Linked DNA regions of Canis lupus familiaris. The protein of the gene in region 2 binds, or shares a complex with, the protein of the main gene of each other region. Links are inferred from orthologs where the notes say so. Each region holds a gene or a part of one and is shown on either strand. Other genes may lie near its edges. The genes, in order: PABIR1, PPP2R2A, ARPP19 and RBL1.

Region 1 (7,757 bases), on a different chromosome or scaffold from region 2:
AGGATTGCAATGAGGATGCAGTGGGACTGTGGAGTGTTTAAAGTGCCTGGCAAGTCGTGGGTGTTGGTTCTTCCCCCTTCCATTCTTCGACTTCACTCCATCATTGAGCTGTCTGGCAGGTCCTAAAGTATAGTTCTCATAGCGTCATTCCTCTTGTCAGAAAGTTTCCACGGTTTCCTGTTGCCTCAGATGTTAAATTTGGGTCCTTTTGGCTGGCATTCAGAGCCCCGGTTCTCTCACTCCCACTTCCATTTCCAAGTTTTTCCCCATTATTGTTCTTCTCCACGTACATCACATCATGTATTAGCAAATTCACTATTTTGTCATGCTGTCGCATCTCTATGAAAAAGACCATCGCTCCATAAAAATCCTACCTATCCTTTTTTTTTTTTTTAATTTTTATTTATTTATGATAGTCACACAGAGAGAGAGAGAGAGGCAGAGACATAGGCAGAGGGAGAAGCAGGCTCCATGCACCGGGAGCCCGATGTGGGATTCGATCCCGGGTCTCCAGGATCGCGCCCCGGGCCAAAGGCAGGCGCTAAACCGCTGCGCCACCCAGGGATCCCCCTATCCTTTAAATCCTGCCTCAAGTACTGTTGCCTTTGCAAAGCTAAGAATCTGGAAGTGGCTTCTCCCAATTCTAAAACATCATTGCCCTTTTAGGAGGCAACATGGTGCCCAGGCTTTCTGGAGCCAGAACGCTCAGATTCTGCCCTTTACTCTCATCCTGGGGACATTGCTTAATTTCTGCATCTGTTTTCCCCTGCAAAATGAGGACAATAATACCTCCTTGAAAGGGCTGTTTTGAGGAGGTAAGTAATAAGGTACTACACGTGAAGCCCTTTAAATAGTGTCTGACACCTGGCAAGCTTAAATCAGTTTCTATATAATTATAAGCATGACTAATCAACATTATATCATTAGGACCTGTACTTCACAGGGAATTCAAACGAAAAGCTATTCTGAGATAACAGTGGAAAAAGAGGCATAGACTAGGAACCTGGATCCTAGTACTGGTTCGCACTACTAAACAAGCTGTGTGATGGTGAACGTCACTTTTTTTTCCTTCAGCTGCAAAAAGAGAAGAATGAACAAAAATCACTAAGCTTTCTTTCGGTTCAGACAGCCACATGGCTGTCCGATAGCCACCTGCAACTCACATCGCCCAAGGGAGAAGTCTTAATTCCCACCTGTTGAAACCCACTCCATCCCTATCTCCGTAAGTGACCATGCTGTGTATCCAGCGGAAGCAGGAAACCTAGGAGTTGCCTTTGAATGGCCTGTTCATTTCATCATCTAAATCCAACCCATCTGAGGCCTGTCCTGTTGGTTCTACTTCTCCTTGTCACCACGGCTACAACCCTAGCCGGGTCCTCTGCCTGCGCCTCGGCGGTCGGTTCCTCATCGGCCTCTCTGCTCCCACCCTTGCCTACTTTCAGCCTAATTCCCACCCAGCCCAAGTGATCTTTAAAACCTAAACCAAAAGAACACCACTCTCCTGCTTTAAACTCCCCAGTGGCTTTTCATTGTACTTGGGATGAGAGATCCAGACTCCTCTGCGCCCTCACAACCACTCTCCCCCCTGCCCTTTCTTCTCTTGGCGCCAGCTCACCAAACTGACATGTCTAGGGCTTTACTAGCACGTGCTGTCTTCTGTGCTTAGAGTATGCATCCCCCAGATGTCAGCGTGACTTGCATCTGGAATTTAGATCTCCGTCCTTTCTAATTGCCCGCCCCCCCTTTCTATCAGTAGTGCTCTATCACACCATCTTTTTTTTTTCCCCCCTTTCCTAAGGTTTACCACGATCTGAAAACAGCTTTATTTATTCATCTCTCTCTTTCCTTGCAGTAGAAATGAAATGCCCTCCTATTAGGGCCTCCTTCCTACCAGTGCTTAGTGCATAGTAGGTATGCAAAAACAAAACAAACAAAAAACCCCAAACCGTGATTTTCATGATACCAAAATTTATGTTAATTGCCTAAGCTGAGTGTTGTGTTTTTAGAGCGTGAAGCCCTCTTACTTTTGCCTCCGTTTAAACCCTCGTAGGGAATGAAGATGATCTTGGAGCACACATGCTCGTGCTGGAAACGGGACTAAATTAAGAGGGCTCCAGGGACAGGCTGGCTTTCGCTCCGGGGCCTCAACAGCCTCCCCCTCTCACCCCCCACCCCTGCTTCCAGGACTGCCTCTCCTCCGGCCTCCCTCCTGCTCCCTCCTGCTGCTTCTCCTCTCCCAACGACCCCATTCCCTGCAGACAGCAGCCTGCAGGCTTCGCTGCGGGGGTTACACCCTTTCCTTGACCCCACCCCCCCACCCCCCCCACCCCCGGAGCTTTCATTGTTCTTAGGATCAGGGCCCGGGCCACCACCTCCACCTCCGGCAGGCCAGCCCCCCCCCCTCCCCCGGTCCCCGCCGCCCACCGCGCTTCCCCTTCCTGGACGCCCCGCAGCCCGCTCCCGTTCCGTGTCCTCCGGAGGTCAGGAGACGGCCCCTTCCTCAGGGAAGCCCTCCCTGCTTAGGCCAAGCTCCGCTCCCCTTCGTACGGCCCCCGCATCGCCACCAGCCTCTCTGTCAGAGCTCTGCTTTGCTACACCCAGACTCCGGGGACTATGGTGACCTTCGGAAGCCGCGTCGCCGCGAGCTTGCGGCTCGGTAGTAGTAGCTAATTGCGGAAGAAAAGGGCTGAACGGCCGCCGCCGGGCCCCTCGGCGCCCCTCCCCCTCGGGCTATGACGCATTAAGCAGGCGCCGCGCGGAGAGAAATCTCAGGGCGCCTGCGCGGAGGGGCACGCATGCGCAAGAGGACGAGCCCGCTGACAGATTGGCGGCGGCGGCGGCGGTGGCCCCAGCCCTGGCCCTGGACCGCGGGGAATGGGAATCCCAGGTCTCTGAGCGCCGCCCCCGCCTCCCTGCCCCCGACATGGCTCAGGAGAAGATGGAGCTAGACCTGGAGTTGCCTCCGGGTGCTGGCGGGAGCCCGGCGGAGGGCGGCGGCAGCGGCGCGGGCGGGGGCCTCCGGAGGTCTAACAGCGCCCCCCTGATCCACGGCCTCAGTGACACTTCGCCGGTGTTCCAGGCCGAGGCGCCGAGCGCCCGGCGGAACAGCACGACGTTCCCGAACCGCCACGGCCTGCTGCTGCCGGCCTCCCCGGTCCGCATGCACAGCAGCCGCTTGCACCAGATCAAGCAGGAGGAGGGCATGGACCTCATCAACCGAGAGACCGTCCACGAGCGCGAGGTGCAGAACGCCATGCAGATAAGCCACTCCTGGGAGGAAAGTTTCAGCCTGAGTGACAACGACGCGGAGAAGTCCGCCTCCCCGAAGCGCATCGATTTCATTCCGGTGTCACCAGCGCCGTCACCCACCCGGGGGATCGGGAAGCAGTGCTTTTCACCATCCTTGCAAAGTTTTGTGAGTAGCAATGGATTGCCTCCGAGCCCTATTCCCAGCCCAACGACTCGGTTTACTACCCGGAGAAGCCAGAGTCCCATCAATTGCATTAGACCAAGTGTTCTTGGACCACTGAAAAGAAAATGTGAAATGGAAACTGAGTATCAGCCAAAGAGATTTTTCCAGGGCATCACCAACATGCTTTCTTCTGACGTTGCACAGCTGTCAGATCCTGGCGTGTGCGTATCGTCTGATACCCTTGACGGAAACAGCAGCAGCGCCGGATCTTCTTGTAACTCACCAGCGAAAGTCAGCACTACCACCGACTCTCCTGTGTCGCCTGCCCAAGCGGCCTCTCCATTTATTCCAGTAGATGAACTTTCATCTAAGTGATTCACCCTCCCATCCCGAGACTCGTTGTTTTCTGTTTTTGTTTTTGTTTTTGTTTTTTTTTGCAATGGAGAGAAAAATCAAGTTGGAGCAAGCACTGAACTTTGTCAATTAATTTGAGGCTATTTCCTATTCGACCCTTTCCTTTTTTTTTTTTTTTTTTTTTTTTGGAATTTCCTGAGATGTTGTTACTCTAGAGAACTTTTATGTCAGGTTCCTGCGGGTGCCCTTGAATTCAGTGTAGTGATATTTTCAGACGTTTTCCAATAAGTGTGTTGAAGCATACGTCTTTATGCTGCTAATATGTTTAAATACATATGTTATCCCTTGATTTTTTAAAATAATCGAGAGCTCTATTTATTTATGGGATTATTAAGTTCTGATGCAAATATAAATGTTGAATTAATCAGTATAGTAAACTGATGTTTTAAAATTCCATATTTCATGCCCACACTAATTTTTGATGTTATTTTTCCAGTGGTCGCTAATTTCTATTTGATGGAGGATAACCTAGTTACTTACAGCGGTTTTTAAAAATATGTTAGTTATAACATAGTGATCCAGTGGTTGTCTATTTTACCCAGGAATCCTCGGATATTTAATTTTCTGGGTACACAAGTGGCTGTGAGGGGGGAATGATAAAAACAAAATATAAAAGTTTGCAACAAGTCTTTTTAAATTAACTATATAAAAGTAAACAAACGCATTTTCTAATGAAGTTTTAATAGTAATTCTAATAAGTCATGCCAATATAACTACAGAAAAGTTTAAAAATTTTTTCTAGACCAGAAAGTGCATTCTCTTGGGTATAATCCTGAAGGGACATGGGACAGTGCCTTGCAGTCTTAGCCCACTGTACATAGGCTGAGACCAGGTCCTTTGTACCACTGCAAACTTAAAAGTTTCTCAGATGTAGAGAATGTGGGAAGCCCTGTTGAACTTCACCAGAGCACCCAGGCAGATAAAAATCTCTCAATCATTGATATGCTTTAAAATATCCAATTGTGCCTCAGTGAAAATCCCTGCCAACAAGGAGCCAGAGCAACTTTTGGCTGCTTTTCTGCTCTGCCCATCTGTTACCTTCCTGGTTTTCCCTGGCTCAGGAAGGAAGCCGCTGTTTCCTTGCCAACAGGTCCTTCCTCTCCACCTCCCACCAAACTAGGGCATCATCGGTTAGACAGAGGTACAGTGTGACTTGGATTTCCGACAGTGAGCAACAACAGAACTGTGGAATTGTTGCAGGAACCTGTGTAGTTAAAGCCACAGCTGGATTTGACTGCCTTGGGGATGCCAGTTGATTAAGGGTCAGTGACTTGAAAGAGAAAAAAAAAAATCAGTGGAGAGTCACATAGGTAAATCGTTATTTAACTTAGATTTTGTTAAAGGTAGAATTGTGAAATGTTCTTTTCTTTGCCTTTTACAACTAAGACAAAATATGAAAATATTTAATAACAAATGTTTTTATATTATACCTTCCTATATCTTCCTTTACTAGATAGGTAGAAAGAATGGCAGACAAAAAAAGGGGAAGAAATAAAAGAGACCAAGACAAAAAGCTCCGGCTTTCTTTAAGTAACTGCCTACAGAGACTTTAACAATTATGTGGAATTTTTTTTTACAACTACGAGAATAAATGGAACTAGTCAACTTTTGAAAGTTGCCTTAAGAGTTCAATGAAACTATGTTGAGGGTAAGATTGTGTCCACAGGCTTAAAATTCTCTGTTCTGGGTAATAGTTCATGTGTGCCAGTCCTGACCTTGTTCCTCCAGTATGTCCAACTTCCTGTTGGGTACCTTGATCTGCTTCCAGACGTACTGTAACCTCAGCATCTCCAAAACAAAAGTTAGTATCTTTTCATCGAACCTGTTCTTGAGTTACCTAAATTGATGTGCTCGCTGATTTTCTAAACGAGAAACCATAGAAAGCGTTTTTGACTTTCCCCTTTTCCCTGTCACATCCAGCGTGATCACTCAGTTCTGTCTACTGAAGTGAACCTGAGACCTCTCCGCTACACTGCTTCTGTTGCCTCTGATTCAGCTTAGGTTCCAGCCTAAGTGATTTCCCACCTCCCCTCTGGCCTGGTCTTCACCCCACCTCTAAAGTGATCTTTCTGATATATAAACTTGATTTTCCCCCCTCCCGCTTGAAAACTCGATGTGCATCCTCATTTCCCACGGTGTAGGGAATGCTTTCTGTAACCTGGCATATAATACTGTCCTTCGTGAACCGGGCATATTGTAAAACAGCTTCACAGCTCTGCTCATCCTACCCCGACACACATCCTTCCTTCTTACTCTGCAAACACTAGACTACTTGATATTCTTTAAATATGCCATGTACTTTCATGTGTTGTGCCTTTGGATGGATTGTTCTTTTCCCCTAAAATGCCATTCCTGTCCTTTTCAGCCAGGCAAGTGCTTTGTTTCTTTTTTTATTGCATGTTAATTTAACTATGAAAGAATGTATACCTGCTGATTATAAAAGTATTTAAACAATGCAGATACCTATATAGTAAAAACTGCAAGTCTGCCTTTTACTATGTAAAATTCATCTTCCCTTCCTGTTGCTAATTTCTGTTAATTCAAGATATACTGTATAAGATGTTTTACCCCTCATTTTCATGTATATATGTATATAAATTCAGGAACCACCACGCCCTTGACATCTCTTCCTTTTCTTTCCTCCGAATCTTCTCCAAGTCTTAGTGATTTTCTTTTCCAGAATCTATTACTTTGTTTTCATCTCTGTTGCCACCCCAACCCAGGCTACCATTCATTTCCCTCCGAGACTTCTAGCGTAATTCCCATCTCTCCCTCTCACACTGTCTCTGGTAGGCTGTCCATTCATTCTCCATACAGCAGCTAAAGTAATCCTCTTAAAATTGCATATCTGATCTTCCATCGCCCAGCTTAAGGCTTTTCATTTGCTTCCTGTTATGTTTGTGGTATACCAAAATACTAATTCTGGCCCGGGAGGCCCTGGGGGATCTGACCCTTGCCCCTCCTTCTTGTTTTCTGTACCCCACCCTCACTGGCTTGCTTCCTTCTCATTAAATACATCATCTTCTCTCCCATATTAGATCCTCTTACCAGATCATTTTCTCTGAAGGTACAGGGAAACCTTCACATCCATAAGCTTATTTTTCTATATAGGTGGTAAATTTTAAATCAGATGAGGCTCTAAGAGTTTATGTAGACCATTTACATTGTCATATTATTGTTCATAAACTTAGTCTATTACTTTGTAGACTGTAAGGGCTTAGGTCACGTGAGAACTATCCTTCAAAAAACATTTGTAAGATATGAGTATTGATAAGCTATAAACTCTGCTGAAAGTCCCAGTGCACATATCAACATTTAGTTAAAGTACAGTCTGTTCTATATAACAAACCTCTGTGGTATATTTTCCTTTATTTTGTCTGTTATAAACATTATGAAAATGGAAAAAAAAATAATGGTCACCAAATCTGCGACTGCTGGACGTCAGAACCTTTAAGTGTACTTAAAAGATTGATTGTAATCAAGAATAACCTGTATCAGGATGCCTTCCAGTAATTCAGGTTTATTAGGTTAGGTCAGCTGGTCATACACCTATAGAAGAGACAACTCTTAAATATTTGGCAGTAAGATGGGGAAAGTGACCAGGCTTATGAGGGGAAACAGGACTAAGATTTTTTTTTTCTTACGGCCACATTTATAGAGGAGTACAAAAAGTTTGAAGATCCAAGAGAGAGGTGGAAGATGGGAATCATTGCCAGAACAACAAACCAAGGAAGGTGATGTAAACTACATTTCCAGGGTAGCATCAGCGTATAGAAGAGTCAAGGGACACCTGGGTGGCTCAGTGGTTGAGTGTCTGCCTTTGGCTCAGGTCATGGCCCGGGGTCCTGGGATCAAGTTCCACATCAGGCTCCCCAGTGGAGCCTGCTTCTCCCTCTGCCTCTCTCCACGTGTCTCTCATGAATAAATAAAT
Region 2 (7,020 bases):
AATAATTAATAAAATAAAGCTATGTCCCCAAATTTTTAAGACAAAATTTGTGGGTATCAAGAATATATAAAATAGTATTTTTATAATGAACATTTATTTTGGACCAAGTTTAGACTTACAATAAAGTTGCAAAGATAGCAGTGTTTCCATTATACCTTTCATCTAATTTCCTCTAATGTCAACATCTTACGCCACCACAGGTATGATTGTTAAAACCAAGAAATTAACATTGTATGTTACTACTAACTGAACTCCAGACTTTACTCAGAATCCACCAGGTTTTCTACTTAACATCCCTTTCTATGCCAGGATCCAAACAACAGTGTATTAAGTTGTCAAGTTTCCCTAGTCTCTCTCATTTTAACAATTTCTCAGACTTTTCTTATTTTTCGTCATCCTGACAGTTCTGAGAAGCAGCAGTAAAGTACTAAAGAATGTCCCTCTACTGGGTATATCTGCGGTTTTCTCATGATCAGACTGGGATCACTGGGTTTTTAGGAAGAATACCAGAGGTGAAAAGAAGGTATACATGGTATCAACATTACTTTTCCACTGGTGATGATAATTCTGTTCACTTGGTTAAGGCAGTATCTGCCAGATTTCTCCATTGCACAGTTACTAATTTCCCCCTTCTCATACTCTATTCTTTGGAAATGAATCTCTAAGTCCAGTCCACACTTAAAGAAGAACCAAGTTACAGTCCCTATAAGGAGAAGCATCCATCCAAATATTATTTGAAATTCTCCTGTAAGAAGCATCTCCCCTCCCTGCTTATTTATTCAACTAATTGTTTATTTAAATCATTACAAAAAAAATCATTACAGACTCATGCATGTTTATTTAATGCTTTGTGTTATAATCCTAAAATTGCATTCATTATCATTCTTAATGGTCCTTTCATGAGCAATTTGGTACAATTTTTAAAAATAGCGTATAGAGATACTTTATAAAATTTTATCATATAGAGAGGTAGCAGGGACTCCTGTAGCCCTGCCACCTCTCTCCGCCTGGTGGTGAAGAGCATGCTAGCTACCTCTGCGAATAACCTTTACAAAGAGGAGTATAAGCAGAAAAGAACTGCTAACTTTACTAACTTGTAATCTAATATTTCATCTAAACCCTAGTGATCTTGGTTAGAATTATCATGAAGTTAAGTTGTGTTTTCTATGTACTATGTTTATTTTATAGATATACATATAAAATATAAGTTAGGTAAAGATCTATATATTTTAGGATATTTTACTTGTCCCCAAATGTTATTAATAAGTCAAGCCTAAACTCATTATTTTGGGAGTATCTAAAAATAAGGATGAAAAGCTTCCCTTCACCCAACCCCCATAACTGCCTTGTGCCCTGTACAAATTCATCATCCTTACCAAAGGTCCAGATAAATCACCATGCACTTATCAAAATTTTCAAATAAGATGTAATTAGTTTGTGGTTTCTAATAGTGTTTTAGGAAGAAAATTAATTTTTTTTAAATCACGAAGAACTGAATAAACAGATTTTTAAAAATATGCTACACTTTAAAAAAATTTTATGTGATAAAATTTGTCACTTAAGAGGTTTAAAAAACTTAATAGCATAAACACAGGATAGAAAAGTACTATACAATTTCAGTGCAATGCTTGGAAACAAGGCATGTCAGAAATAAAATATTTTAATAATTAGGACAAATTTTTAAAAAGTCAAAATTAAGCTCTATAGTAGTGATTTAATTAACTGTAGTTTTTGGCCAACTAGAAGTATGTGACAATAATCAAACTCCATAGAACTACATGCAAAATTATGTAAATATATGTATTTTTCTGTAAGAGTATTATTGGATTCCTTAAAGAAATCTGTCATTTCCAAAAGGTTAAGAGTGCTCTATGGTGTTTCCCTACATTGTCAATACTAATGAGTAAAGAGTATTCCAGAAGTCCAAAAGTCCCAGTGTTTCTCTCACCATAAAGAGAGAGTAGGACAGGGAAAACCATCTACCAAGTTTCCTTGTGGGAATGAATGTAGCTTTGTTATTAAAAAACTTATTAACAGCTGTTAAAACACAAGGTATTTACTGGTAAACTCTGTATTACTCATATATTCAAGATCCACGGTCAATAGGTTAGAGGTGGACATTTTGCAATGTGGAAGAATTGTGGAAAACTCTGAGAAAGCAAAAGGAGATGAAAGAGAATAAAGTTACGTGAAGATAAATTAAATGAACCAAAATTGTAAGGAGGCCACTGTGAAGTTCTGTGAATAAAAATGACCTGGGAAACACTGGACGGTTGATGATGACCATGGGAAATCCATATAAGACCAAAGTGAGATTATTTTTAGTCAATCAAAGGTGGGGGATGTTTCATGCTATTTTCCACCACCTCCCTTTAGGAGTTCATCTTTTATGAGCCAAAAGGACTGTTACATGTAGGGGAAGAGGAATTGTTATTCTCAATCTTACAGAGGCAAACATACCAGATAATATAAAGTTATGACTTAGATTTAAGAGATACTGACATTCTCCCATTATTTTCTTTCTTTGTAAACAATAAAGCTCTCCAGATATAGCTTAAGTTCTATTCCTTCCATCCTTTTCCCATCCCACCACATCCAGACACAACAGTCTGTAAAATTCCCACTTGTATCATTCTTGTACAGTGGGTTCTGTTTTTTATCACAAAAAAATAATGTAGCCCCAAATAATTGTATTTTATTTAGTGCTCATTAACAGTAACAACAAAAGACAGAAACCTACAATGCACTGTGTAGTGCCCTTTAAAATAATTTGTATTATTAATCAATGACTTAAAAATTCACATGGTATATCTATTTGGGAGACACTGTTGATTGTCTATAGAAAATACTACACAGGATAGGATCACATACCTAAGACCCAACGACTAGAATTCCCAGGGCCTCTCCCTCTACTGAGCGTTTGTAGAATTTACTGTCTAGAAAGGCTCATCTGGTTACACACATGCAAGTATGAACAGAGAAGTGAGGGGTAATTAAGATTTAATCCATAAATGAATCGAAATGGGATTTGTTCCCAAACAATACTGAGGAGGGAAAGCAGAAGTACCTGAACAAACAACTGGCTTCGAACTGAGAAGTGCTAAAGCTGGATGATGGGTACATAGGACTTTCTTATTCTAGTTCAGCCTTTATTTTAAACATTTCCCATTATTAAAAAGAAAAATACTTTATCCTGTAAGAAGTGAACTGCCAAAATTACTAAGAACAAATATCCCAATACGTGAATTATGTATGTCCCAACACATCTGCTTGGGGCATTTATCATCATCATCATCATCATCATCATCATCATCATCATCATATATATCACATTTACTACCCATAACAATACTATTACATTATTACCATCATCAGTTTGCTGATGAGGAAAATTTGACTTGTGTTATAATGTGCCAAAGGCAACTAAACCAAGATGTGGCACAAATGGTACCTGATCTAAAATCCAGTGGTAAAGTCCTCTTTTTTCACTACAGAGTGTGTATATACCAAGTGAATATGGACACCTGAGATCTTTTTCATAGAATTTAAAAACTAAAAGAAAAAAGGGAAGACAAAGAAGAATTTACACATCATGTATAGGGAAGACGTCTATTTCCAAGTGTCTATTTGTAGAACTCTCTGAACATCTATTCCTCTTTGTAAAAGTTAAGTATTGTACAGGATATATGTACACACACATATATAAAAGGCATATAAAAGGAAAAAAATTTAACACTTACCATTGGTAGACAATAAAAACTGAGCAGCATTTTTCTGGGGTAACCACCTAATTTTGTTGATCTTTTCTTCTATTTCTAAACTTTTCAAGTAGTCAAACTCTGGTTCATGGCTCTGAAAGGTGCTGTAAACATTATATTCTCCTCTGCTATGAGACTGGATTTTGTTCTAAAATGGAAACAAAAATATTTGGACCATTGTTGAGAAATATTTCAAAACATAAACATGCAATCAATTCCAACAGACCTTGCAAATTCTGGTTAATTAATTACCTGCATCTTAAATACAACTATAGTGGTTTTTTTTTTTTTAAATATTTAAGGCCTTTAGGAATAAATAAAACAGCTCCTCACAAAAAATGGAAAAGCTTAATAAAAAGCCTGAGCCCAATTCAATAGGAAAATGACATTAAAATATTGATCAATCTGATTACTAATTTATCATTATATAATAAATAGTAGAGGACTACTAGTAAAAAAAAAAATCTAAGCACCCTTAATGAGGGCGCTCACCTTTTTAAAAAGGGAAAATTAAAATAAAAAATTAAAAGGGAAGAATAAATAAAAGCTTGTTAGAAAACAGCTGGCTGCGGCACACTTTCTCTGTCCACTGTAGGGTCAACCATAAATCAGTTATTTATTGGATGTATTGTCTTCCTCCTCTTCCTTTCCCATGCCTGTCTCTAGGTCATGTCACTGCTGAAAAACTCTTATTTAAGAACTCCATCAATGTAATAGTATCATCTGACCCCAGCTTCTCCCAAGACCACAGTTACAGAGCTCTGTGACTCATTAAGTTCACATAAAGCATTACCCAGCAAACCTCACCCCACAAACCCATCGACAATTTCTTCCTCTCCTTAAGTTAGCCTTATGAGCCTAGCACACACTGATGATTTATTTCAGTTAGTATCTGGGTAAGTGAATACAGTTTAAACTATTAGCTAAAGCAACTACTTGTCAACTTCTTCAGTTAACACTAGTATCTTCACAAAAGTGAGAATTATAACCATGAGAGAATTTCACCTTTTAACCTATTATCACATGATTAAAAATCTTTCCGTCAAAAACATTAAAAGTCTAGTTCAAAGAAGAACCTATGGAAAAATAGTTTAAAGGAAAGATATTACTGATAGCCAACTATTCAAAAGTAAAAGTGAATTTATCAAATGAAATGTTTAAGATGACTTGATTAAAAGAATGGCTCATTATTGTTCTACATATAAAAGAAAACCTTAGTGAATCATCACCTTAAAAGCTTGTTTTGGGTTGTTTTTGTACAGCAGCTTGGTTATCTGGTTTGGTCATTCATGGTTCCAGTTATATTTGAACCCTCTGATAGCAGTATCAATTATTATTGAGTTTGCCAATATTAAGAATGCAAGGCATACCAAAAAACATAATCCCCACTGGGGATTAAAACCCTAGTCTCGGGATCCCTGGGTGGCGCAGGGGTTTGGCGCCTGCCTTTGGCCCAGGGCTCGATCCTGGAGACCCGGGATCGAATCCCACGTCGGGCTCCCGGTGCATGGAGCCTGCTTCTCCCTCTGCCTGTGTCTCTGCCCCTCTCTCTGTGTGTATGACTATCATAAATAAATAAAAATTAAAAAAAAAAACCCCTAGTCTCATTACCACAGTTTCTTTTTTTTTTTAAGATTTTATTTATTTATTTATTCATTTATTTATTCATGTCTTCATGAGAGACACATAGAGAGAGGTAGAGGGAGAAGCAGGGCTCAATGTGGGACTCGATCTCAGGACCCTGGGGATCATGACCTGAGCCAAAGGCAGATGCTCAACCACTGAGCCACTCAGGTGCCCCTCTTTACCACAGTTTTATGCCAAATCACATAACCTAATCTATTAAATATGTATACGCTACTATTGCTTTATAAGAAATTCAATAAATCTTTTACCGAAAATTACTGTTTCTAAAGGTCTGTTGTGCTACTCTCAAAAAAAACCCTTAACAGCAATTCAATTTTTAATATGAATGCTGTTTTTTGAGCTTAAGAAACTACAGCACTGTGTACATCAAGTCCTACAAATATAGAGAGATTTATTTTTATTTTTTTTTAATTTTTATTTATTTATGATAGTCACAGAGAGAGAGAGAGGCGCAGAGACACTGGCAGAGGGAGAAGCAGACTCCATGCACCAGGAGCCCGACGTGGGATTCGATCCCGGGTCTCCAGGATCGCGCCCTGGGCCAAAGGCAGGCGCCAAACCGCTGCGCCACCCAGGGATCCCTATAGAGAGATTTAAAACCTACTTCTACCTTTAAGTAACTTGTGTAAGGTTTTACTAAAACCTTAGTTTAATAAAAAAAAAAGTAGGTCCACTTGATTCAGGTAAGCGATATAGAGAACGAAAGGCAAACACATACAGTTCTTTATGCAAAAACTGGGTTTATATGGGTCACAACATAAAAGATGGTAAGAAAAACACAAACATAGGAACACACCCTCTAAAACAAATGAACAAAACAACCCCATCACCCTAAAGACTCAATAATTACCACATGGTCTAAACATCTATTAAAGAATGCAAAAACAGAATCATAGAGGCGATTAGAGATTAGCAGTCTTAATGGATTTCAAGAAGCATGTTTCTTTTCAACAGAGGAAAAGAATACACTACACAAGAATGTTATGCCTACAAGTTAGAGATGCCAGGCTGGACTTGTATATTAATATCCATACTCCTTAAACTCTACTAAAATTACAGTGAAAGAATTTTTAAAAAACAAATCAACAAGAACAAAGAACAGCAGCAGATATGACAGCAGTAGTAACAAAGAGAAGAAACCATAAAAAAGATGCATGAATGGAGACTGACTTCATGGACTGCAGAGAGCTGGACTCGTAGCCAAAAGTGGGTTGAGATTTTGCCTAAAACTCAGGGAGAGATGTTTCTATTATTATAATGATCATGACAGCGAGCAAGTATGAACTAAGTACAGTGAGCAAAATATGAAAAGGAAATGCAATTCCCTGTCAACACTGTGTCAAAGAAGAATGCACTTAAAAATGCTTTTTTGTTTCAAAATTTCCCTACAATCATGGAGAATTGACACATTCTAGAAAGGCTGCATATTTGTGTTTTACTTGCAAGGCTGTTTACAACTCCCTTTTCTGTAGCCTGTTTTCACTAACAGAGGACCTACTTTCTTAACCAATCTATTTATATAAATAAATATATATACATTTAAACATAAATACAAAAGTTTAAAAGAGCTTTATCTTCAAAACATGTAATAGTGTCTGGCGTATAACAGGGATTC
Region 3 (7,020 bases), on a different chromosome or scaffold from region 2:
TTCTTCCCCTCTTTTATTGAAAATTAGGGAAACCTGCAGAAACACAGGAAATTAGGGCAAGTTGCTACCACATACTAGAAATTTTAAGGAATTTCTCTTAGATATAGGGAACTGATAATTCAACTCAAAGGAAGTGAAGAGCCTTTATTTACCAGGCCCAAGAAAGCTGGATGGTTTTATTGGAAACGTAGGACTGTTAATACCCTTTAGTTTGAATGTGTGAGGACTCAAAGGCTATAATCAAGTTATAGTTCTTTTCAACTAACATCCAAATTTAAGATTAACCAATTTATAAAACAACTGTATCAGGGGACCCAAGAATAAGTTCCTTTTCCCAATTCCCTCTGAGAAGCACCACTGTGAATACAGCTGGACCTGTGGCAGATGCCTACAGTGAAAGCTGAACCACCAAGGAGAAACTCTAGCCCACCTTCCTGCACTAAATTGGTAATCTTAAATTTATATTATTTCTTTAGCTTGGGTGATGAATACAGTATAGTCCTACCTTACATAGGGGTTAGATTCTAAAGTTATCAAACAAATTGTATATAACTAAAATACCCTTGAAGAACCCCAGTGAAGTCCCAATCGTAGTGGAGATAGCCCTATCAGTTCTCAATAGGACATGTCACTTTTTTTAATCTAGTGGTTGAACAGATACCTGGACTGATTCTTCAGTTAATTGACAGCTGAGGTGTAGTAGATTTCTAGGGGCTGAGTTCTTAAACACTAGAATAATAAACGGAACACTGATACACTTCAACTCTGAAAGAACCCCAGGATTGAGATCATTATGGGAATGGCAGGTTTGCATCACACACCTCACATTTGAGCTCTCTTTGGGGTCATACTCTTCTTTTTAAAAATTTTTTTTTTAATTTTTATTTATTTATGATAGTCACAGAGAGAGAGAGAGAGAGGCAGAGACATAGGCAGAGGGAGAAGCAGGCTCCATGCACCGGGAGCCCGATGTGGGACTCGATCCTGGGTCTCCAGAATCGCGCCCCGGGCCAAAGGCAGGCGCCAAACTGCTGCGCCACCCAGGGATCCCATGGGGTCATACTCTTCTTGAATGGAATGACTGGCAGAGTCACTGATACTATTTAGAGGCTCTGTCTCTGGCAGAGCACACAGAGTTGAATTTTGTGTATATCAAGAAAGTGATATGACCACTTAAAGAGACTGAAAATCTAAATAGATACATGAGACTGTAGCATAAAAGGAGGAAGGTAGAGCACTTGAAGCAGAAGGGGGAGCACACAATATAAAGGAGGCCCCATAGAAAAAGTATATTTGACAGCAGCTGCAGCAGCATTAATCTCAAGATATTCCAAGACTAAAAATGAGATGTTGTAACACATGAGGAAGCTGGTCAAGATGAGGGAAATACTGACAATGTATAAGGTCAACAAAGCTAATTATAAAGCATGCATTAATACAATTTTGAGGAAAATGGATGGAAAAATCGTAAGTTATTTTGGGCATAAATGATTTGCTTGCTGTATAGGAACAGAAGGCTTGGCATTTATGGATATTCATTCATTTTTGACATTCATAAATAACCTGGAAGAATTTTTTTATATAAATTTATTTTTTATTGGTGTTCAATATGCCAACATCTAGAATAACACCCAGTGCTCATCCCATCAAGTGCCCCCCTCAGTGCCCGTCATCCAGTCACCCGCACCCAACCTGGAAGAATTGAGATATGCAAAGGTATGTGATTTTGCCTGGCTGACATACAGAAATGAGTTCATTAGCTGGAAGGTGCATTTTGTCTTTGCCCAGCATTGCCTATCAGGGCAGCTTTGTTTTTCTTTTTTTTTTTTTTTTATTTTTTATTTTTTTTTTATTTTTATTTATTTTTATTTATTTATTTTTTTTTTTATTTATGATAGGCACACAGTGAGAGAGAGAGAGGCAGAGACACAGGCAGAGGGAGAAGCAGGCTCCATGCACCAGGAGCCCGACGTGGGATTCGATCCCGGGTCTCCAGGATCGCGCCCTGGGCCAAAGGCAGGCGCTAAACCGCTGCGCCACCCAGGGATCCCAGCTTTGTTTTTCTTGATTGATTGATTCTTCTTCAGTACTTACCACAAAGTGATAAACATTGCTCCCCTATAAAGTATGGTTCTTGGGGGGAAAAAGTAGACTATATCAAGACTGCTGTTAAAAGTGAGTAGGTTTGGGATTCCTGGGTGGCTCAATGGTTGAGCGTCTGCCTTTGGCTCAGGTCGTTGATCCTGGGATCCAGGGATCGAGTCCCATATCAGGCTCCCCATGAGGACCCAGTTTCTCCCCTTGCCTGTGTCTCTGCCTCTCTCTCTGTGTTTCTCATGAATAAATAAAATCTTTAAAAAAAAAAAAAGTTAAGTATGTTTGGGGCACCTGGGTGGCTCAGTGGTTGAGTGTCTGTCTGCCTTTGGCTCAGATCCTGATCCCAGAGTCTTGGTATCGAGTCCCACATCAGGCTCCCCACAGGGAGCCTGCTTCTCCTCTGCCTATGTGTCTGCCTCTCTCTCTCTCTCTCTGTGTGTGTCTCATGAATAAATAAAATCTTTAAAAAAGGGGGGAGGTGGGTTTTAGTGGACTCAGCCTTTCTGTCCTGTGGCTCTACCTTGTGGATGGGGATTGGATCCACTTGGAAGGGGAATGAAGAGCTTGAGAAGAGGAGAAAGAATAATGGGAAGGGACAGGACCTTTTTCAACTTGACAAGTAGTTTCTGTTGACCATGAAGGACACTAGGACACTCCAATCACTAGAGTCTGCAGCTGGGATCTTGGGAAAACTGACAAAAGTCAATGCAAGAAAAATGTCCCTTCTTAAATGCCAGTAGTATGAGCAATCATACCGTATAAAAACCTAATGTAGGTACAACCACCATGTCCTGAAATGAGACACAACTATTTGAAAGGACTGATCTATTCCCAGGACTGAGACTGATTCACTGGGTTATGGGATAATTGACCTCAGTTTCTGAACCATGAAATTTCTTGGGAAACTTTCAAATAGAAGAATGCTACCCAAAGTACGGCACTTTGGGATTTTGATATTATAAGCTGAAGGCATCTGAGAAATAGCATGTGCAGAAAGGACTTTTGGCTTTCCCCTGAAGCAGATAATAAGATCCGCAAATGAGAGGTGCCTTCTGTATAGCTGGAGGAAAGGAACTCCCCTACCTTCAAAGATAGAGGGACACAAAGAAGACTGAACAAATAAGCCTTGCTCCTTTCCTCCATTTACCACTCTCAGCTCATGTTCCTTTTTGTCCTGTCATATTTTTTTCATTTTCTCTCTACTTTTGATTAAACCTAGTATAAAAATGAGGTTTAAACATATCTTTGGTCTTCATGTTTATGAAGCCTCCTGTATCACATAAAATTTGTATTAAATGTGCTTTTCAAAAAAATTGAGTGAATAGGCTTTGGGGCACTTGGTTGGCCTAGTTGGAAAGCATGCAACTCTTGAACTTGGGGTTATGAGTTCAAGCCCCATGTTGGTTGTAGAGCTTACTTACAAAAAAACAAAACAAAACAAAAAAAAAAGGGCACCTGGATGCCTCAGTTAAGCATCTGACTTCAGCTCAGGTAATGGTCTCAGGGTCCCCTGATAGAGCCCCATGTCAGGCTCAGCAGGGAGTCTGCTTGTCCCTCTCCCTGCTGGTGCTCTCTCTCTCAAATAAATAAAATCTTTTAAAAGAAAAAAAGAGAATAGTCCTAAAATATTGATAGTCATTTGGTTAGAAAACACATTTTTGATACATTGAAGAATGGTACCTTTGGTATGAGCGGTCTGTCATTAAATACAGGGGGAAACTAGGGAATAATATACACTGATAGGAAGATTGACAAAGATACTTCTCTTTAAAAATACCAAGGCTGGGTGGCTGGCTGACTCAGTTGGTGGAGCATACAACTCTTGATCTTGGGATTGTGAGCTTGAGCCCAATGTTAGGTGTAGAGATGACTTAAGAGAAATAAAAATTTTTTTTTAAAAAGGTCTTCTATATTGAGTTAGGGAAAATCTTCTGGTAAATAAGTTGTTAATTCCTATTAAAGAATCTCAGTGCTTCCAATCATACATGAATCTGGATTAACAGATCTTTTTGTGTTTTAAGAGTATTAAGATGGTTCTCTGAATGCAGGCAAAGAACTGATGAGTTCCATGGAAGGTGACTAACTATAAATGTATTATACATGACTGGAAAGTAATGGCAAGCAAGCCTTCAGAGCTGAGTTATCTTGATATTTTTATCCAGTGTGTGGGGTGTACACATGCATCACAGCTATAATAGAGCTATCACATGGATCATTTGAAAAACAAGACAGAGATGTTTTAAAAGCTTCTGTGCTTGATTTCTCAGTCAGATGCTGCAGTATTTGGCATTCGACAACTGAAGTCCAGATCTAGATATTAAAAGGTGAATTGTTTTAAATAAGTAAATTGTAATAGACAAGTTATTTTAAATTATTTCAGGAAATGGAAGATAAAGTGACTAGTCCAGAGAAAGCTGAAGAAGCAAAATTAAAAGCAAGGTATCCTCATCTGGGACAAAAGCCTGGAGGTTCAGATTTCTTAAGGAAACGATTGCAGAAAGGGGTAAGTTCTCTATATGATCTTCAGATGCTTAAACCCTATGAATTCAGTGTGCTGATTGTGATTACAAAATGGGTGTCTGTGTACATAACTCTGTATCTTACCAGATATATAGATACATAATTTTCCTATATTTTATACCTTTTATTGTATAAATACGTATAAGAATGAACAACTCATCACTTATTTAACTATAAACTATTTTAAACATGTGGAAAGTGCAGATAATAATATAGCAGAACCCATGTACCTACCACTCAGATTTAATATGTTAATATTTTGCCATATTTACTTCAGTTTTATCTTTGTAAGAAAGAAAATGTTGTAGATATAGTTGAAACCTACCACATGTGTGTAAATATCCTTCTTTCCCCTTCTTTCCAAAAGTTAGGACTATCCAGAAGCTGGCATTTATCTTTCTACTCATATATTTTTTTTAACTTTTACCTGTTTTAAAGATGATTTCCATGCCAGACTAAAAATATTTTTTATTTGGATGAAATCACTTATGTAAGCAGAGCTTATTATCTCCTTTACATAATACATTTTACAGTTACTCTAATACAGTTTATACATGGTAATTTTAGTAGTTCAAATTACTGAAAACATTTTTTCAAAATCTTACCAATTCTTTGTGAGGTAGAAACCATTTAATGCTCAGTAATGAGATCTGAATTGAGATAATGCTACTTGAACAAGATCCTTAGGTTTTCTTTTTTGACCTCTTTGTGAAAAATCAAAGGATTCCATCTTTTCTTTTCTTTTTTTTTTTTTTTAAGTAACTTTATTTACCACACAGGGAACAGGGAAAGATGAAGAGAATTATTAATTGAATCAGGTGCCAAATCATGTTTTTCCTTAAGTAAATACCTTGAACACTTGAACATACTGGTATCTGCTGTTTGGTTAACCAACACCTATCCATGTGTATGTGTATGTTTATATGTATAGGTATTGGCCATAGCTATACATGATTATTTTCTCAAATTGCAAAAGGATATTGTTTTCCAGCTTTATTGAGATACTGTTGACATATATATTGTGTAAGTTTAAGGTGTACAGTGTGATGATTTCACAACATACATGTTGTGAAATGTTTACTAGTAAGGTTAGTTAACACATCCCTTACCTTACATAATTACCATTTTGTTGTTACGTGAGAACATTAAAGCTCTACTCCTAGCAACTGTCAAGTATACAATGCAGTATTGTTAACTTACTGTATATTAGGTCCCTGGAACTTAGTCGTTTTATCATTGAAAGTGTGTGCCTTCTGACCAGTATCTCCCTATTTCCCCCACCCCTCAGCTTGTGGCAACCACATTCTGCTGTTTTTACACGTTTAATGTTTTTAGATTCCATATGTAAGTGAAATCATACGTTCTTTGTTTTAATACCGGGAGAGTATGGTAAATGTGGCACCTGGCTGGCTCATTCTGTACAGCATGTGACTCTTGATCTCCAGGTCATGAGTTCGAGCCCCATGTTGAGGGTAGAGGTTACTTTAAAAAAAAAAAAAAAAAGCTCGCCTAATAAAAATTCTAGCAATTCAAAATAAATACATAAAAACTTAATTTTAAAAGTGGTAAAAAGTACAGGTTTTTTTTTTTTGTTTGTTTTATATGAAAGAATAATGTTCACAGCTTTGAAATATTATTTCAAAGTTAGGAATTCAAAGGCAGGTAGGAATTATACCAAATATATAAAAAGGTAAAGTTTCTGGGGGCACCTTAGTGGCTCAGTCAGTTAAGCAAGCGTCTGCCTTGGGCTCAGGTCATTATCTCAGGGTCCTGAGATTGAGACCTGTGTCAGGCTCCCTGCTCAGTGGGAAGCTTGCTTCTCCCTCTACCTCTTTTTTTTTTTTTTTTTTTAAAGATTTCATTTATTTATTCATAGAGATGCAGAGAGAGAGAGAGGCAGAGACACAGGCAGAAGGAGAAGCAGGCTCCATGCAGGGAGCCTGATGTGGGACTCGATCCAGGGTCTCCAGATCATTCCGTGGGCTGCAGGCGGCGCTAAACCGCTGCGCCACCAGGGCTGCCCTCCCTCTACCTCTTCTCCCTGCCCTACGTGTTCTCTCTCATAAATAAATAAAATCTTTAAAAAAAAGTAAAACTTGTGTTCATGAGAAGTAATTCAGTGGGAAAATTATTACAAAAATGATAGTTAATATCTATAGTACATAAAAGGATTTTTCAGATACTCAAGAAAAACATTAAGGTGCTCCTAGATAAAGAATTTTAGCAGGAAAAATATCAGGTGCAGAAAAATGTTTATCCATGATGGAAATCTGTGAAATGTACATTAGATCATATACCATAGTACAATACAACAAAATTAGAAAAATACTTACAGTAATACTGGTGAGGTTGAAGTTGAATATAGTTAATATTCTCTTTGTTGAGTGGAGCATTTAAAATTAT
Region 4 (7,020 bases), on a different chromosome or scaffold from region 2:
AGCCACCCAGGCGTCTCTATAGCAGGAATATAAAATGGGGCTGACACTGTGGAAAATGGTATGACAGTTCCTCAAAAAATTAAATTCAGAATTACTATTCCACTTCTGGGTATATATACAAGAAAACTGAAAACAGAGACTTGAGTAGATATTTGTACACTAATGTTCATAGCAGCATTATTCACAATAACCAAATGGTAGAAACAACCTAAATGTTCATGTATGGATGAATTGAAAAACAAAATGTGATATATAAATACAGTGGGATATTATTCAGACTTAAAAAGGAAATTCTGAATGATGCTATAATATGGATGAATCTTGAAGACTTATGCTAAGTGAAACAAACCCTGTTACAAAAGGATGCATATTTGTACTTATATGAGGTACCTGGAATAGTTAAATGCATAGAGACAGAAAGAAGAATGGTGGCTGCCGGGAGCTGGTGGTGGGAAGAGGAATGGGGAATTATTGTAATTGGAACAGAGTTTCAGTTTAGGAAGATGACAATGTTCTGGGATGGATGATGGTGAAAACTGTGTATCAATGTGAATGTACTTAATGAAACTTTACTGTACACTTAAAAATGGTTAAAATGATAAATTTTATATTATGTATATTTTACCATACACACAAAAGAGAATGCTAAAGGTGCTCTATTACTCAATAGATGCACTGATTAAATGAGATCATTTTATTTTTAAATAATCTCTATACCCAATATAGGGCTCGAACTTACAACCCTATGATTGAGTCACATGCTCTACTGACTGAGCCAGCCAGGCACCCCAAATGAGATCTTTTGGATGCCATAAAATCACATACCTTTCTATAAAACAGTGCTAAAGAACCAGTTCTCTTTGGTTTGCTTATTCCAGTTGGATGTGCCTCTTGCGCTTTAGTCAGATGAGTCTGTTTCGGAGAAGCACCAATTAATGACTGAGCAGTAAGTGATATAGGACTCTCGACTTTGGACTCCTGAGCTGTGTTCATGGAAATTGGTATCAGTGTGATTTCTCCAGCATCATTTGCAATACCTAAACATATAAACAAGAGTTTTCAGTTTTAGAAATAAGCTGCATGTGTTCCAGAAAGGTTGTCAATTATCTTTAACTATCTATGTATAAACATAGGAATAGGTGAGAAAAGGAGAAGAAATCCACAAAAATATTAATTCTAGATTTTTTTTTTTAATTCTAGGTTATAACACCCTTGTTTTCTATTTCTGCTCTGAAAAAATACTGTTTTCTTTTGAACTCTAAAGGAGATGTTTTTAATCAAGAAACAAGATTTTTGCAACTCATTCATAAAGCTCAGATAAAAAAGTAAAATAGTCTTAACAAAAAGAATGGTAAATTTTTAAAATGTGAAAATTCAAAAAACCGTGTAAGTTCAAAACAAAACAAAAACAAAAGATGGAAACAGGATTTTTATGGCAATGACACTATTCTGTATAATACTATAATGGTGGATATGTGTCATTAAACTTTAGTCAAAATCTATACAATGTACAATACCAAGAGTGAACCCTAATGTAAACTATAGACTTGGGATAATAATGATGTGTCAATGTAGGTTCATCCATTGTTAACAAATATGCTATTCTGGTGCAGGATGCTGATGGTGATGGAAGCTGTGTATGTGTGGCAGTGGGTATATGGGAAACCCCTGTACCTTCTACTCAATTTGCTGTGAACCCAAAACTGCTCTAAAATAATAAATTAAAAAAAAATAGTATAGGTTCAAAAGAAACTGGGTTAAAAAGGCCACGTGATCCAATCCAGCAAGACAAATCTTAATTAACCAATTCAGAAAAAATATAAGATAAAGGCATTAAAATGTTACCGTGCAATGGGATTGTAACTTTATGTCCTGTTGTCCCTGTGACTATGGCTGTGGCCATAGTTAGAAGACTCTGCCCAGGTGAAATTGATATATTTTCAGCAGTAATGCTTGAAGAAGGGGCAATTTTCAATTTTGTTCCTTCTGTTATGATCCTGTCCACAAGCATTTCCTTTGGGGGGTCTTCCCCAAAAAGTCTTCTCTTAGCACTCCCTGCAGTAGGAGAACTGTAGCGTTCATGGACAGAAATTGGAGACAATGGTTGCATATCTAATAGAAAGAAAAATAAATTTATTTATTTATTTATTTATTTTTAATTTTTATTTATTTATGATAGTCACAGAGAGAGAGAGAGAGAGAGAGAGGCAGAGACACAGGCAGAGGGAGAAGCAGGCTCCATGCACCGGGAGCCCGATGTGGGATTTGATCCCGGGTCTCCAGGATCGCGCCCTGGGCCAAAGGCAGGCGCCAAACCGCTGTGCCACCCAGGGATCCCAGAAAAATAAATTTAAAACAGTTTGATCATATTCCCAAATAATGCATCATACTCATTCATTCAAAAAATAGATATTGAGCTACTATGTTAAGCACTAGGGATTTAGCAGTAAATAACATGGCTTCTGTCTTCATGAAATATAAGAAAATCTAGTGAAAGAATGAAAAGTCATTACATGTGAAAATTATGATAACTCATCTTCTTGGTTTCCCAAACTCCTGCCTACTACGAAAGGAGCAAAACAAGGGACACCTGGGTGGCTCAGGGCATGATCCTGGAGTTCCGGGATCGAGTCCCACATTGGGCTCCTGCGAGGAGTTTGCTTCTCCCTCTGCCTATGTCTCTGCCTTTTCTCTGTGTCTCTCATGGATAAATATATAAAATCTTTATTATTTTTTAATGATTTTATTTATTTATCCATGAGAGACACAGAGAGAGAGAGAGAGGCAGAGACACAGGCAGAGGGAGAAGCAGGCTCCACTCAGGGAGCCCAATGTGGGACTCAATCCCGGGTCCCCAGGATTACACCCCGGGCTGCAGGCAGTGCTAAACTGCTGCGCCACCGGGGCTGCCCACATAAAATCTTTAAAAAGGAAAAAAGGAGCAAAACATTAAGGGTAAAGTAGAGGTTGAGAGGTAGAATGAAGTGACCACTAAATTGAAGTAGTCCAATTAGCTTCTGTCCCTCAATTTTATCTAGTAAATAAGGAAAATCAGTGATTTGGTTCACAGTTTTGCTTCTTCCAATATGCCCACACATAAGCAGTTTAAGGTACTATGGCTTTCTCACTTAGTAGGTACAGAATCATCTTTTATAAGCCCATTAGAAGATAAAGATACATAAAGGTGATATGATTAACTTGCCTTAATCTGAGGGTTGGCAGTGTGTTGATCAAAAATAAAGTTAGGTTATAGATTATATCTATTTTCAATGCTATCCTTCCATAGGAGCAGCTTTCCCTCTCTACCAAATGCAAAGGTTCCCCTAGCCCCTTACAATCCTACATCTTTAATCCTTCCTTACCTTCCCCAATCCATTGTTTCTTTACAGGAATATGATATGCTTTATTCTTTAAATTTTTTTTTATTCTTTAAGTTTTATTTATTTATTGATTGATTTATTTGAGCGCGCATGCACGCACACGTGGGGCAGGAGGAGGAGCAGGAGAGGGAGAATAAGAACCCTAAGCAGGCTCTAAGTCCAGTGCAGAGCAGAAGCAGGGCTCAATCTCATGATCCTGAGATCATGAGCTGGGCCAAAATCAAGAGTCAGATGCTTAACCAACTGAGCCCTCCAGACGCCCCTTTATTCTTTATTTTTATTAAAAAAAATTTATTTATTTATTCATGAAAGACGCAGAGAGAGGGGCAGTGACATTGGCAGAGGAAGAAGCAGGCTCCCCGGGGGGTACCTGATGTGGGACTCCATCCCAGGACTCTGGGACCACGACCTGAGCCAAAGGCAGACACTCAACCACTGAGCCACCTGAGCGCCCCTACTTTTTATTTTGGAAAAGATTTTACTTATTTGAGAGAGAAAAAGAGAGTACACAAGTGGGGGGAGGGGCAGACAGAGAAGCAGACTCCCCACTGAGAAGGGAACCCAATGCCACTGGGCTCCATCCTGGACTCCGGGATGATGACCTGAGCCCAAGGCAGATGCTCAACCAAATGAGCCACTGAGCCTCCCTATTTTAAAACTTTTTATTTTTTTAATTTTTAAAAGGATTTTATTTATTTATTTATTCATTCATTCATTCATTCATTCATGAGACACACACAGGCAGGCAGAGGGAGAATCAGGTTCCTTGCAGGGAGTCCAATCCAGGACCCCAATCCCAGGATCCCAGGATCACGCCGAGCTGAAGGCAGATGCTCAACCACTGAGTCACTCAGGCGTCCCTATTTTAAAACTTTTTAAAAGTAATTTTTATACCCATCATGAGGCTCAAACTCACAATTGAGATCAAGAGGTCCCCAAACCACTGACTGAGCCAGCCAGGCACTCATATACTATGCTTTTTAAGTGAAAGCATTTCAGGGCACCTCGCTGGCTCAGTCGGTGGTACATGGGCCTCTTGATCTTGGGAGTCTTGGGTTTGAGCCCCAGAATGGAAGAGATCACTTAAATAAGTAAATGTTAAAGAAAATAAAAAACATTTCACTATTTATTTTTACATTCACTAGATAACTAGACAGCCATATAATATATTTTCAAAACATGCTTACGAGGTATAAAGATTACTTCTGGCAATGATTTGACAGCTCTCTGTATTAATGAGGTAAGTGGACAAATAGTCATGGTTTAACAAAAATCTCTCTGTAATTCTGGGGCTTATGAAAGCGGCTCTGATTTCCCAACCTCAGTAGAAAGTATTAAGTTTTATTGTAGCTCCCATTACTAATGGGAGTCTATCTGGATCCTTTTTCTTATTCTTTTTAAAGATTTCATTTATTTATTCATGAGAGACACACAGAGAGAGGCAGAGGCACAGGCAGAGGGAGAAGCAGGCTCCCAAGTGGGAGCCCGATGTGGGACTTGACCCCTGGACTGGGATCAAGCCCTGAGCCAAAGGCAGACACTCAACGGCTGAGCCACCCAGGCGTCCCAACCTGGATCCTTACACACAAGAAATCTAAGGCAGCTGTTGAATCTGACTAGAAATGTTAAAAGCTGACATTTCAATAGAGGATTCACATTATAGCCATGAAGTTAGCTGTAAACCCCTTCAAATTATCTTTTCCTAGCCCAGTTGTGGAAAAGCTACAGTGAACAACTAATAAATATACAAATTAATTAATTGTCTTCTTCTGCCCAGAGTCAAGGCTCAATATTAATTGTTTTCTAAGGATTTTTTCATTATTTGATTCTCTTGGTTGCATTTTTAAAAAAGACTTTAGGGGCAGCCCCAGGGGCTTAGCGGTTTAGCGCCACCTTCAGCCCGGGGCGTGATCCTGGAGAACCAGATTGAGTCCCAGGTCAGGCTCCCAGCATGGAGCCTGCTTCTCCCTGTGTCTCTGCCTCTCATGAATAAATAAAATCTTAAAAAACAAAAAAACAAAACAAAAAAAAAAACACTTTACATTTACGTATTTACTTACTTATTTTTTTTTTTTTTTTTTTTACTTACTTATTTTTTTGTTAAAGACTTTATGTATTCATGAGACACATAAAGAGGCAGAGACATAAGTTGAGGGAAAAGCAGGCTCCCTACAGGGAGCCAGATGTGGGACTTGAGCCCAGGACCCCAGGATCACAACCTGAGCCAAAGGCACAAGCTCAACCACTAAGCCACATAGGTGCCCTGAGATTTAACTTATTTATTTGAGGAAGAGAGAGAAAGCGTGTGCAAGAGAGAGCAAAAACAGGGCAGAGGCGCAAAGGGAGAAGAAGAAGCAGACTCCCTGCTGAGCAGGGAGCCCAATGTGGGGCTTGATCTTAGGACCCTGGGATCATGAACCTCTCCAAAGGCAGACACTCAACTTGAGCCACCCAGGCACCCAGTAAAATTTCTTAAAGATCATAAAATAATCCTAATCATTTCCATTGCTTATGAAGATTGTTTTGTATGCAGAGCTTGCACATTTTTATAATCTAGCACTAGATGTAAAGCAAAGACTATGCATGTGCCTGCACGCACACACAATTATGGTCCAAAAAAGGATCAAGAGCTATGTGAAAAATGAATACTTGTTCATCTAAAGTTAGTTCAGGGATATGTGATCAAAAGATTAGGGGTGCCAGGGTGGCTCAGCAGTTTAGCACCTGCCTTCAGCCCAGGGTGTGATCCTGGAGTCCCGGGACTGAGTCCCACATTGGGCTCCCTGCATGGAGCCTGCTTCTCTCTCTGCCTATATCTTTTATCTCTGCCTTTCTCTCTCTGTGTCTCTTATGAATAAGTAAATAAAATCTTAAAAAAAAAAATCTTAAAAAAAAAAAGAGGTGGATGCTCAACCAACTGAGCCACTCAGGTGCCCCTCTGCTTCAAATATTTATCTTTCTACAGAGACATACATGGAAAAAGAACATAACTTTTGTCACATCTGAAAAGTAGGTATTTTGCTTATTCACAGAATTTTCCATTAGCATTTAGAAAAGCTGTATGTTGGGGCACCTAGGTAGCTCAGTTGGTTGAGCATCCCACTCTTGATTTCAGCTCAGGTCATGATCTCAATATCATGAAATCAAGTCTCATATTGGGCTCCATGCTTAGTGTGGAGTCTGCTTGAGATTCTCTCTCTCCCTCTGCCCCTCACCCTGTGCTCTTTAAATAAATAAAATCTTAGAAAAGTTGTGGGTTTATTAAAATGCTAAAATACTCTTTCTACAACTGACATGGCAATTTAAAAAAGAGATATTAAAAATCAGAGCAACAGGTCTGTGAGATGGAGCCCCCCAATTTGGCTCTGCACTGGGTGTGGAGCCTGCTTAAGATTTTTTTCCTCTCCCCTCCCCCACTCTTTCTCTAAAAAATGAAAAAAAAATCAGAGCAAAAATCTTATTACTTTGGTAAAGAAACTATACAATGGGCTACATAAAGGTATTGGTATAAGCCCCTCTTCATTTTTTAATTAAAAAAATTTTTTTTGAGGATTTCTTTATTTATTTGAGAGAGAAGAGAGAGCATGAGTGGGGGGGAAGAGCAGAGGGAAAAGAACAAGCAGACTGTGCCCTGAGCATG

What was found.
Region 1: the proteins of PPP2R2A (region 2) and PABIR1 are in contact, whole or in part, in a cryo-EM structure (PDB 8SO0), measured with the Homo sapiens proteins. The link is inferred for Canis lupus familiaris from reciprocal best matches to the Homo sapiens genes PPP2R2A and PABIR1. Residues at the interface, in NP_002708.1 of Homo sapiens: Phe84, Leu87, Lys88, Ser89, Leu90, Tyr178, His179, Asp197, Met222, Glu223, Leu225, Thr226, Glu227, Val228, Tyr337, Asp340, Phe343; in NP_612206.5 of Homo sapiens: His81, Ser82, Ser83, Arg84, Leu85, Ile88, Lys89, Glu92, Arg99, Glu100, His103.
Region 3: the proteins of PPP2R2A (region 2) and ARPP19 are in contact, whole or in part, in a cryo-EM structure (PDB 8TTB), measured with the Homo sapiens proteins. The link is inferred for Canis lupus familiaris from reciprocal best matches to the Homo sapiens genes PPP2R2A and ARPP19. Residues at the interface, in NP_002708.1 of Homo sapiens: Lys18, Gly19, Ala20, Asp23, Asp24, Asp29, Ile31, Thr45, Asp47, Gly49, Arg51, Val53, Phe55, Val73, Thr76, Gln78, Glu81, Pro82, Glu83, Phe84, Leu87, Lys88, Ser89, Glu91, Glu93, Tyr178, His179, Asp197, Leu198, Asn221; in NP_001293124.1 of Homo sapiens: Lys42, Pro43, Gly44, Ser46, Phe48, Leu49, Arg50, Arg52, Leu53, Lys55, Lys58, Tyr59, Phe60, Asp61, Lys75, Pro93, Asp97, Leu98, Pro99, Pro103, Leu105, Val106, Ala107, Ser108, Lys109, Leu110, Ala111.
Region 4: the proteins of PPP2R2A (region 2) and RBL1 are in contact, whole or in part, in a cryo-EM structure (PDB 9C6B), measured with the Homo sapiens proteins. The link is inferred for Canis lupus familiaris from reciprocal best matches to the Homo sapiens genes PPP2R2A and RBL1. Residues at the interface, in NP_002708.1 of Homo sapiens: Lys88, Tyr178, His179, Asp197, Leu198, Met222, Glu223, Glu224, Leu225, Thr226, Glu227, Val228, Ser247, Arg278, Ser279, Phe280, Phe281, Ser282, Glu283, Ile284, Ser287, Tyr337, Phe343; in NP_002886.2 of Homo sapiens: Ser615, Pro616, Leu617, Met618, His619, Pro620, Arg621, Val622, Val625, Arg626, Ser629, Leu632.

The regions. Positions count from the first base shown.
Region 1 is NC_049222.1:89,249,596-89,257,352, reverse strand, and holds PABIR1 (protein FAM122A), read left to right. Parts: upstream 1-2,808; 5' UTR 2,809-2,923; coding exon 2,924-3,787; 3' UTR 3,788-5,440; downstream 5,441-7,757. UniProt on the Homo sapiens protein: Acts as an inhibitor of serine/threonine-protein phosphatase 2A (PP2A) activity. Inhibits PP2A activity by blocking the substrate binding site on PPP2R2A and the active site of PPP2CA.
Region 2 is NC_049246.1:31,380,335-31,387,354, forward strand, and holds part of PPP2R2A (serine/threonine-protein phosphatase 2A 55 kDa regulatory subunit B alpha isoform), read right to left. Parts: intron 3,907-7,020; coding exon 3,741-3,906; intron 1-3,740. UniProt on the Homo sapiens protein: Substrate-recognition subunit of protein phosphatase 2A (PP2A) that plays a key role in cell cycle by controlling mitosis entry and exit. Involved in chromosome clustering during late mitosis by mediating dephosphorylation of MKI67.
Region 3 is NC_049251.1:18,488,777-18,495,796, reverse strand, and holds part of ARPP19 (cAMP-regulated phosphoprotein 19), read left to right. Parts: intron 1-4,477; coding exon 4,478-4,600; intron 4,601-7,020. UniProt on the Homo sapiens protein: Protein phosphatase inhibitor that specifically inhibits protein phosphatase 2A (PP2A) during mitosis. Inhibition of PP2A is enhanced when ARPP19 is phosphorylated.
Region 4 is NC_049245.1:26,289,665-26,296,684, forward strand, and holds part of RBL1 (retinoblastoma-like protein 1), read right to left. Parts: intron 2,113-7,020; coding exon 1,846-2,112; intron 1,038-1,845; coding exon 826-1,037; intron 1-825. UniProt on the Homo sapiens protein: Key regulator of entry into cell division. Directly involved in heterochromatin formation by maintaining overall chromatin structure and, in particular, that of constitutive heterochromatin by stabilizing histone methylation.